Linked DNA regions of Zea mays. The protein of the gene in region 2 binds, or shares a complex with, the protein of the main gene of each other region. Links are inferred from orthologs where the notes say so. Each region holds a gene or a part of one and is shown on either strand. Other genes may lie near its edges.

Region 1 (4,223 bases), about 62 Mb from region 2:
TCATTTCCTTTTGTACTTGGAAGATGAGATACTCGGACATCTTATCCTCAAACATTTTACTGCTCTGATTAGTTTACTACTTTAAGCTGAATGTTTGAATTCACGCATTCAATTCAAAAAATAGAGAAAAACTCGTCCATGCAATGAGGCACACCGCAACGTGTCACTTTGTTTTAATCCAGGGATTTCCTTGACGTATTATCGTGCACAATTGTATACATACGTGAATTTCATTCTGAAACAGATTTTCATCCTATCGCCAAAGTCCAAAAGTTACTGATGTAAAGTCCAGCAAATGCATAAACCCGAACGGCCGTCACGAACTATGCAACGTCCAGATACGCACAAGACAGTAGCTACTTGTTTGACCCCCCCCCCCCCCCCCCCCTCCGGGATCAAAACAAATTTCATAGGACCGATATTATCGAACATTACTTGTTACCATCATCATGTGCATCCGAGCTCAGGAGTGGCTGCTGCTATGCTAGCTCGCCACAGTTTCGCTTGAACACGGAACAACCTGGTTGTAGTTGTCATTTGAACATATCAGGTACACATAATACTATTATGATGCCATATCCGAACATTGCGAAAAATGGTGATGGAGAGTGTTCTTTGCAAAATACATACAGCGGCAAAGGATAGTAGATCTAACATGGATGGATATTTTTTTAATATGTACACCATATACACCAAAGTTTTATATACATAAAACAAGATGCAGCAAAACACACCGCCATTCAGTACCTCCTTTTTAGGCAGAGCTAATTCTTATGCTTATTGGGTATGTTAGCATCAGGAAGACAGGAACGGCTTAGGAACTCTGTGATGAGAGACTGTTCCTGGAAACCTGGTCCTAACAACTGATCATCTTCACCTGCATAGCTCACTTTCATCATCTCAGTTAGCACTTGGTAGTAATATATACACAACTTTAGCACATATACTTTCGATTGTTCAAATAAGGGGGTTTCATGGACTCACAACAATTTTTCTCTACAATAAAGTAACTACATGCTTGTATTTATGAACGACTTACGGCTCTTGTACACCAAAGGCCTTGCGGATTTCAGTTATGACCCGACTAGACACATCCGGACCAAACATCCTGGGAAGGTTTGCAGTCAGGTCAACCTCTATCGATTTCGACCTTACAATCCGGTCCCTCTTGAGCAGGCAGTCCCTCTCCGCCTCATCCATCTCTATGGTGGAATCAACACAGTTGTCAAGCCAAGTCTGAAGAGCCTCCTGAATGACCTTTGCTAACTGTCCATGTATTATCTCTTCCAAGGCTTTCTCACCCCCTTGTCCACAGTCAATGCTCACCATTATTGCTGTAGGCGAGCATGCGCTGCGCACGAAGAGTGACGGAGATCTGTATGGACGAGCCTGCGGTAGCTCCTCGATCTTTCTGCGCTGCTCATCCATTCCAGTTTCCTCGTAGTACTTCTGCAGGTAGTCCGGGTGAAACGCGAGGTCTTTCCGTGGAAGCAGGTCCAGAATCACCACCATTGAAGTTGAGCTGCCTTGTATGAGCTCCAGTAGGAAATGTGGTGCGTCCGTCGAGGCGTTCAGGAAAATGAGAATTGAGGTGATGTCAATGGCACCGTTCGGGACTTCACAGTGAAGCGAGGACTGCAGCATGAAATCAATCTGTAGACAAGGAGGAAACGCACATCAGGTCCTGTCATCGTTTCTTTTTACTACATCTTACAGCAGTAGCAAACAGGAAGCATGTTAATGCAAGCTTTCTTCCATCCTCGACGACATTGCTGTTTTCAATGACTGAAATCACATATTAAGATTGAACTATCAGCTCAAGGACAACAACATATATGACAGTGATATTCAGATTGGACTGCGATTACAGTTTAAGTTTTGGAAATCACGGGACGGATCATTGCCAGTTTCTTTATCTGGAACTCGGCAGTCTCACAAGTCACAACAATAATCTAAGGGACTCAAATGGAGAACTGTTAGTAACCTACAATTGACAAGATGCTTTGATAGAGTTGCATTAGCAATATTTCCATCTAAAACTTTGACAATTCACCTTGAATGGATCAGTGGACAACAATTATCCAATTGGCGAGAAGTAGGCGGTCAGCAAGTGCACCAAACCATACTGAACTGAAACACAAGCCATTTTTTGGTATTCAATACAGATGCCATATATGGGGTGATGTGTGTATTTGAGTACTATATACCAAGGAAAAATGGTGGAATGCATGATGTGCCGATTCCGAGTCATACTGGAGATCCCATAACCGTATTACGCACAGAGCAGTATAGTAGTATGCCCTTATCTTTTGGTATGCAACCACACGAAAGCTGTATTATACTAACATGGTACGGTACTACCACAAGAAAAAAAAAAATAGGATCACTATTGAACTGTACCGACGAGCCAGGAGAGCCCCGTTGCACGTCGAGCGAGCCGACGGCGTTCCCGGCGGCGTTGCGAAACTCGACGACGTCGGCAGGCACGGCGGACGGCAGCAGCCGCGCGCCCAAACGCGCCACCGCCTGATCCGCGACCACCCGCGCCACCTCCCTCTGGGCCATCTCGGGCGCGCGCTTTACCGTAGAATCCGGCTCCGCCGAGGCGCGCACGGGGCTCGACGTTTTGCCCCTGAGCGGGGGAGGCCGCGAGCGGGCTAGCCGGAGGGCACTGAGGCGAGGGAGAGGACTGGAGAGGAAAGAGTAACCCGAGATCAACGCGGGCGCTGTAGCGTGGCTGGTCGCCGGCAGCAACCGGAGATATTGCTCCAGCCGGAGCATGGAGGGGAAGCTGATTCCTGTCCCGGCGTCGGATAGGGGGAGTAAGAAGACGACGTTACAGACTACAGTGACGTGAGAACTAGCAGGTAGCAGCTACAAAGAGGAGGCAGCGCTATCGCCAATGCACGCACAAAAAAGAATTTACGTGATTATCGGGGTGGATATCGAGCCACTCGGCTCGGCTCGACCGAGCTCGAGCTGGCTCGTTAAGGAAACGAGCTGGCTCGGCTCGGCTCGTTAAGCAACCGAGCCAGAGAATCAGCTCGGCTCGGCTCGTTTGCGAGCTCGAGCTGGCTCGTTTATCTCGCGAGCCAGAACAAAAAATATTATACATGTATATATACAACAATATAATTAATTGCTAGTTAATTTCATACTAATTTAACACTAGAAAAGACTAACAATACTCATAATTTTATATATCACATCATCTAAACCGTAAACTAACATAGTTCATCACTTATTAATTCATCTAATACAAGTATAGGCTTTGTTTTACAGATAAATGCTAGCTCATTCGAGCTAACGAGCTGGCTCGAGCTCGTGTCGAGCTGGCTCGTTAACGAACCGAGCTGAGATGTTAGCTCAGCTCGTGATAAAATTGAAACGAGCCGAGTCGAGTCGAGCCGAGCTGGCCACGAGTCGAGCGAGCTCACGAGCCACGAGTATTTTGCCCAGCCACGATTATCTATTAACTCTAATAACTTGGAGGATAGTTCGGAAAATCGGAAGGTCCATATTTTTTATTGCGTTTAAAAAGGCAAAATGTGTGAAGGAGTGTCTTGGACCTAATTTGGGCGCCAATTACTAATGACCGAAGCGAGATTGTAGATAAGATGTAAAATAAATAACACTATCTCGGATGCGGTCTTGAACTTTATCTCTATCGCTGATTTATAGTACACCACCTCTATGATGACCACCATCTATTTAAAACCAAACACCAATGAAGCCTAGTCACTTCTCGTGACGAGCAATACTTTGGGTTCGGCTCTGCAACGTGAACAGCGATGACGGTCCATGACAGGTCACTGAAAGTAGCCTAGAGAGGGGGTGAATAGGCTACACCTGAAATTTTTCACTAAAAACTTCGAGATATGTCAAATTAAAGTTGCACTGGTGCAAACCGGTTCAGTTGATTTTGTTTACAACTGAACAAGTTTGAACCTGCTCAACTTAGATTAAATAATCAGTTAAACTAATATGACGAAGTAGTGAAAGATTTTGCTAATGACTTTCCCTACAGAAAATCCACTCAAATAAATGAATATAAAACAACCAACAATTTTAGGCACTTGACAAGAACGCACAAGAACATGCGATTTAACCCGAGGTTCGGCAACCACCACAAAGGTGTCCTACTCCTCGCTGAGGAGCCCACAAAGGGCCGGGTCTTTTCCAACCCTAATCCTCCACAAGCCGACCACAAAGGTCAAGGCAAT
Region 2 (4,554 bases):
ACTCTCGACCAGCGTCGGGGATGGAGTGGAATGGCTGGTGAAAAAGTTGAAGGGCAAGATGCAGAAGCCACTGGTGGACCTGCTTAGCACAACCTCCCTGTGGGTATGTTCCCATGCGAGAATACCAACTACGAGTTCCCGTTGTCTCTGAGTTGTGGTTTGACGCCACGGTGTCAGGTATGCTAGGCGAGGGCCGCCTCACGTGAAGGTGGACAGGATCAAGACCAAGGTGCTCATCTCGGCTAGGGTCACCATTGTTAAGGCCGCCGCTGCCAAGGTCTACTTCACTATGAGGATCAAGTGGTCGCGCAACGGGACGCCTATGAACAAATGTGTTTGCTGCACACCGAGATGGACAAATGGTTGCTTTCAGTTGCAGGAATAAATTCTGCAGTCATTAGCTACCTGGGAGATCTGTGTGCATTGTACATCATGTGTTTTGTGCTTCGCTGTGAGAATGTGTAACACATGGAAGGATTCAGAATCTGTGCCCATTGCATATGATATATGTCTCGTGTCAGATTTTAACTACAAAACATCTGAAGCAGAGCTCGAGTTAGCTCAAACAATCTATCAGATTTTAAACTGAAGAGTGAAATAACATGCGAGAGATGAGTTCACTGGCAAGCTATTGCTCCATATATACGTGGTGGACTGGAATCGCGTGATGTGTGCTGATAGATTCTGCTAAGGCAAAAAAGAATGCTTAGTTTTTCTGGTTTCAACGTAGATCATCTTTACCACTTTATGAACAAATTAGATAAAATTACTACTTTATGCAAAAATTAGGTACAATTACACATAAATAGTGGTCATCTTTACCACTTTATGAAAAAATTAGATAAAATTACTACTTTATGCAAAAATTAGGTACAATTACACATAAATAGTAGTTTGGGCCTTTATTGGATTTACATCCACACCCATCTAACCAACAGAAGATATATATTTTGTGTTTTGTAAAACAAAGTCTATCAATAGGTAGTGGTTTGAATATTTGTTTGTTGTACATCCACCTTCATCTAACCAACAGAACCCACATGTTTTCGTGATTTGTTAAAATAAAGTCTAATTGTTTGATATATAGAAACCGTAACAACGCACGTGCAATTAGCTATAATAAGATTACATATTTATCTCGCCAATATAATAGTTTTACAGTGATATTTTGCCACATAGATTTTGCATATCATAATGTTGTTTATCGTTTCGTATCTATGTTTTATACTATTTTTTTTACTTTCGTAGCAACGCATGGGCATGAACCTAGTCATATATATGATCGCGTAAAAAATTATTTTATATTGTATACTACTGTTTATAAGAGTTAAGTTTAAAATAGCGGTTGAGATATGAGATATGATGAGTAAGGTGTTGAAGACAATCTAAGAGTACGGATCGTCGTCCCACCAAAAGGAGGGACTACGAAGTAAAAAAATACATATATGGGCGGCATAATTTCTGTTAACTTTTTATCCGGGGTATAGTGTTGAATTTTGAATATTTTTAAATATGAAAACCAAAAAGATGCACTATGCATCGATGGGTGGACATTTTGCAGGCTCCGAATTTTCCTCAAAGGGTGGACATGAGCCGAAATTCATGAGGTGGCCCAGTAACAGTAGTTTCTCTTAAAGGCTCAAGGCATGACTCCTCCATCTCCACTCGATCCTCCGTCTTATCACCGGTGAGGTACTGAGGTGAGACGATCTCCGCCACCATGGCCTCCAGCACCTCCCTCTCCCTTTGCTTGCACGCCTCGTCGCCCTCGTCCTCGTCTCCTGGACTCCGCCGACCCTCCCTCGCCTCCTCCTCGTCCTCCAGGTCCGAGAGAACGCGCAAGATCAGGGCCAAGGCGGTCAGGGAGGACTGGAGGCAGAAATCCAAGCCCATCCCTCCTGGCGCCGTCTACCCTGCCAAGGACCACTGCAGGTATATGCCTGCTGTGCTGCGCATTTCTTTGTTTGTTTGTGTGTTTATGTGATGCGAATATGCGATGCTTACCTCTGTTCCTATTTCTACTCGTATGGCGATTCAAGCCGTTGTGGGCTCTGCGACACATACTACGTTGCGCATGTCAAGACTGCCTGTGCCTTCCTGGGAGACGGCATGTCCCGTGTCGAGGTCACCTCCCTTCATCTTCGCATCACATCACCTGCCTAGAACGGCTCAAACAGTTTGCTGAATGAAAACAAAAATGATCGTCTGATGTTTGATCAAGCCATGGGCTGCAGTGCTGCACGCAGTTACTCCCTCCGTCGAAAGTTATAGTTCAACTTTTCTAACTCTGACCAAGTTCATAGAGACCATCTACAATATCAAAATGATTTCATCAATTTCTTCGTGAAAAATGTCTTGATAGTTTATTTGAACATATACAGAGGGAGTATATTTTTTTATAAAATACTTAGGTCAAGTCAAAGTTAAAAGAAGTTTTGATTTAGAATAAAGCTAAAGTGAACTATAATTTAGACCGAGGGAGTAGTAATGCTCGACATGAATTCTACACTTTGTTTCAGTGAAATAAAGCGGGGAACTCTCCTGTTTCCTAAAAAAAGTTGACACAAATTTACAGATGCCAACACTCTCCTCACTATATTTAGGATCTTGAGCGACAAGTCCACGGGAGAGGCCGGAAGGAAGGCATGGATGAAATGTACTTTGGAGTCTATGACCAACTCTTGTATGCCAGGAAGACCGAACCTGTTGAAGGTACTAATTACCTTTTACAAGTTGTTCTTATCCTTCAACAACCGCCTGCATCCATCTAAGGAAGCACACATATGCAATATACCAGTCTTGTTCACTGCCCTTCCATAACAAACCGAAACCACATACACCTCGAATGTTGCATCTTATTTCCTACACTATCTTGATATACTCAACAAACCTTTGTTAGACAAAACTGTACCCTGACGACTTATGTTTTGTACCCTGTAACATATATGTGCCTCACATGCAACAGGAGCCCAGTGGACGGGAATAGTGACAACAATCGCTGTCGAGATGCTGAAAGCAAACATGGTTGATGCTGTGGTTTGTGTACAAAGGCACCCAAACAAGAATCAAATGCCACATCATTCTTTCTCAGTGCTATGCACAAGCATTACCACATGGATTCAAATAATGTTTTTTACCCCCTCTGCAGTGATCCTGACGACAGGCTTGCTCCAAGACCTGTTTTGGCCAGGTATTGTGAAACTGATGGCTTTCAGAATTGTCCTTTATGGCTTGTGTATAACACTCCTTGACTGGATATACTTTTGCAATTCCAGACTTTCTGTAACTATTTTGAGCTTAAACTTTTGTTATCAGTCCATCCATGAATTACTCATGCTAATCATTATGTCCCTTGATTTCTAGAATGGAAGTGACATTTAATCTCAGTAGCCATGCTCTTGTAGGACACCAGACGAAGTAATTGCAGCCAAAGGTGTGAAGCCAACATTATCACCAAATCTCAATACACTTGCCTTAGTCGAGGTAAGTCGCTCCTTTTAACTCTATACTTCCCATGCCCCCTTATTCTTGATGCAAGCTATGGTGCCATGCCTCCTTTCCCTTTCTTATAACATATAGAAGTAATAATGGGTCATATCAGCAGATCTCTGAGAGTCAGAGAGAATCAGCTGTCCTAATATTAATTTAGGGTTAATTGATCCAGATATTCGTTCCCATTTCCCAATTCAAGAGAATTAGAAGTAGTTCAATTATATTTGAATTTGTTGCTTGGCAAGACCGCAAATGTAATTCTATTAGCCTATTAAATCTGGAGTAGCCCCACATTCTAGTGGGTTCCAAAGCCTATTCCAATCATCCCTCCAACCATAACAATACATATGATATCCTATAGTGACCAGTTTATAAATCCAGAGAGTTTCACAGTTTCCTTTGGCAGGCAGCTGGTGTAAAGCGGCTTCTTTTCTGCGGTGTGGGCTGTCAAGTGCAAGGTCTTTTCCTTTACCTGGCCTTTCTTCTCTTTCTATTGCTGATGTTTTATCAAATGTAAAAGTAAAAGTTGCTAAAGTTATTGTTTGAACTACAGCTTTGAGATCTGTAGAAAAGTACCTTGGTTTGGAAAAGCTTTATGTGCTTGGAACAAACTGTGGTAATTTCCATTTCTCCTCTCAAACCAGTCAATATTTACATTTTCTGTCGTGGAAGATAATATTGTAGCTCTAACATACTGTATTTTTCTTAGTTGACAATGGTACGCGTGAAGGGCTTGATAAATTCTTGAAAGCGGCAAGCAGTGAGCCAGAAACTGTTATGCATTATGAATTTATGCAAGACTATAAGGTATGACATTGAAATAATTAGCTGCATACATTCTTTTTCCCACATTGGTAGGTTCATGTATGGATAATCAATAGGATAGGAATACAGTTTTCCATATCAACAGCTCAAGGAGCAGTTTTAGGATCAACACAAGAACACATGGCATTTACAGAATTGCCATGATTTTCCTTAGATTTTTTTTATGTATGATCACATTGTATAACTGAGAATATTTACAGGTGCATCTAAAGCATTTAGATGGGCACATTGAAGAGG

The links.
Region 1: 7-hydroxymethyl chlorophyll a reductase, chloroplastic (region 2) and uncharacterized protein LOC100272914 share a complex: the UniProt entries of both Arabidopsis thaliana proteins name them as parts of the SGR1-CCE-LHCII complex. The link is inferred for Zea mays from reciprocal best matches to the Arabidopsis thaliana genes HCAR and ACD2.

Annotation. Positions count from the first base shown.
Region 1 is NC_050096.1:144,516,514-144,520,736, forward strand, and holds uncharacterized protein LOC100272914, read right to left. Parts: upstream 2,794-4,223; 5' UTR 2,782-2,793; coding exon 2,401-2,781; intron 1,654-2,400; coding exon 1,036-1,653; 3' UTR 878-1,035; coding exon of another isoform or gene 874-877; 3' UTR 645-873; downstream 1-644. UniProt on the Arabidopsis thaliana protein: Catalyzes the key reaction of chlorophyll catabolism, porphyrin macrocycle cleavage of pheophorbide a (pheide a) to a primary fluorescent catabolite (pFCC).
Region 2 is NC_050096.1:206,310,726-206,315,279, forward strand, and holds the start of 7-hydroxymethyl chlorophyll a reductase, chloroplastic, read left to right. Parts: upstream 1-1,616; 5' UTR 1,617-1,720; coding exon 1,721-1,932; intron 1,933-2,039; coding exon 2,040-2,124; intron 2,125-2,603; coding exon 2,604-2,712; intron 2,713-2,965; coding exon 2,966-3,050; intron 3,051-3,148; coding exon 3,149-3,190; intron 3,191-3,404; coding exon 3,405-3,483; intron 3,484-3,898; coding exon 3,899-3,950; intron 3,951-4,045; coding exon 4,046-4,108; intron 4,109-4,201; coding exon 4,202-4,299; intron 4,300-4,517; coding exon 4,518-4,553; intron 4,554-4,554. UniProt on the Arabidopsis thaliana protein: Probable iron-sulfur flavoprotein that converts 7-hydroxymethyl chlorophyll a to chlorophyll a using ferredoxin as a reducing equivalent. Catalyzes the reduction of a hydroxymethyl group to a methyl group. Belongs to the chlorophyll catabolic enzymes (CCEs).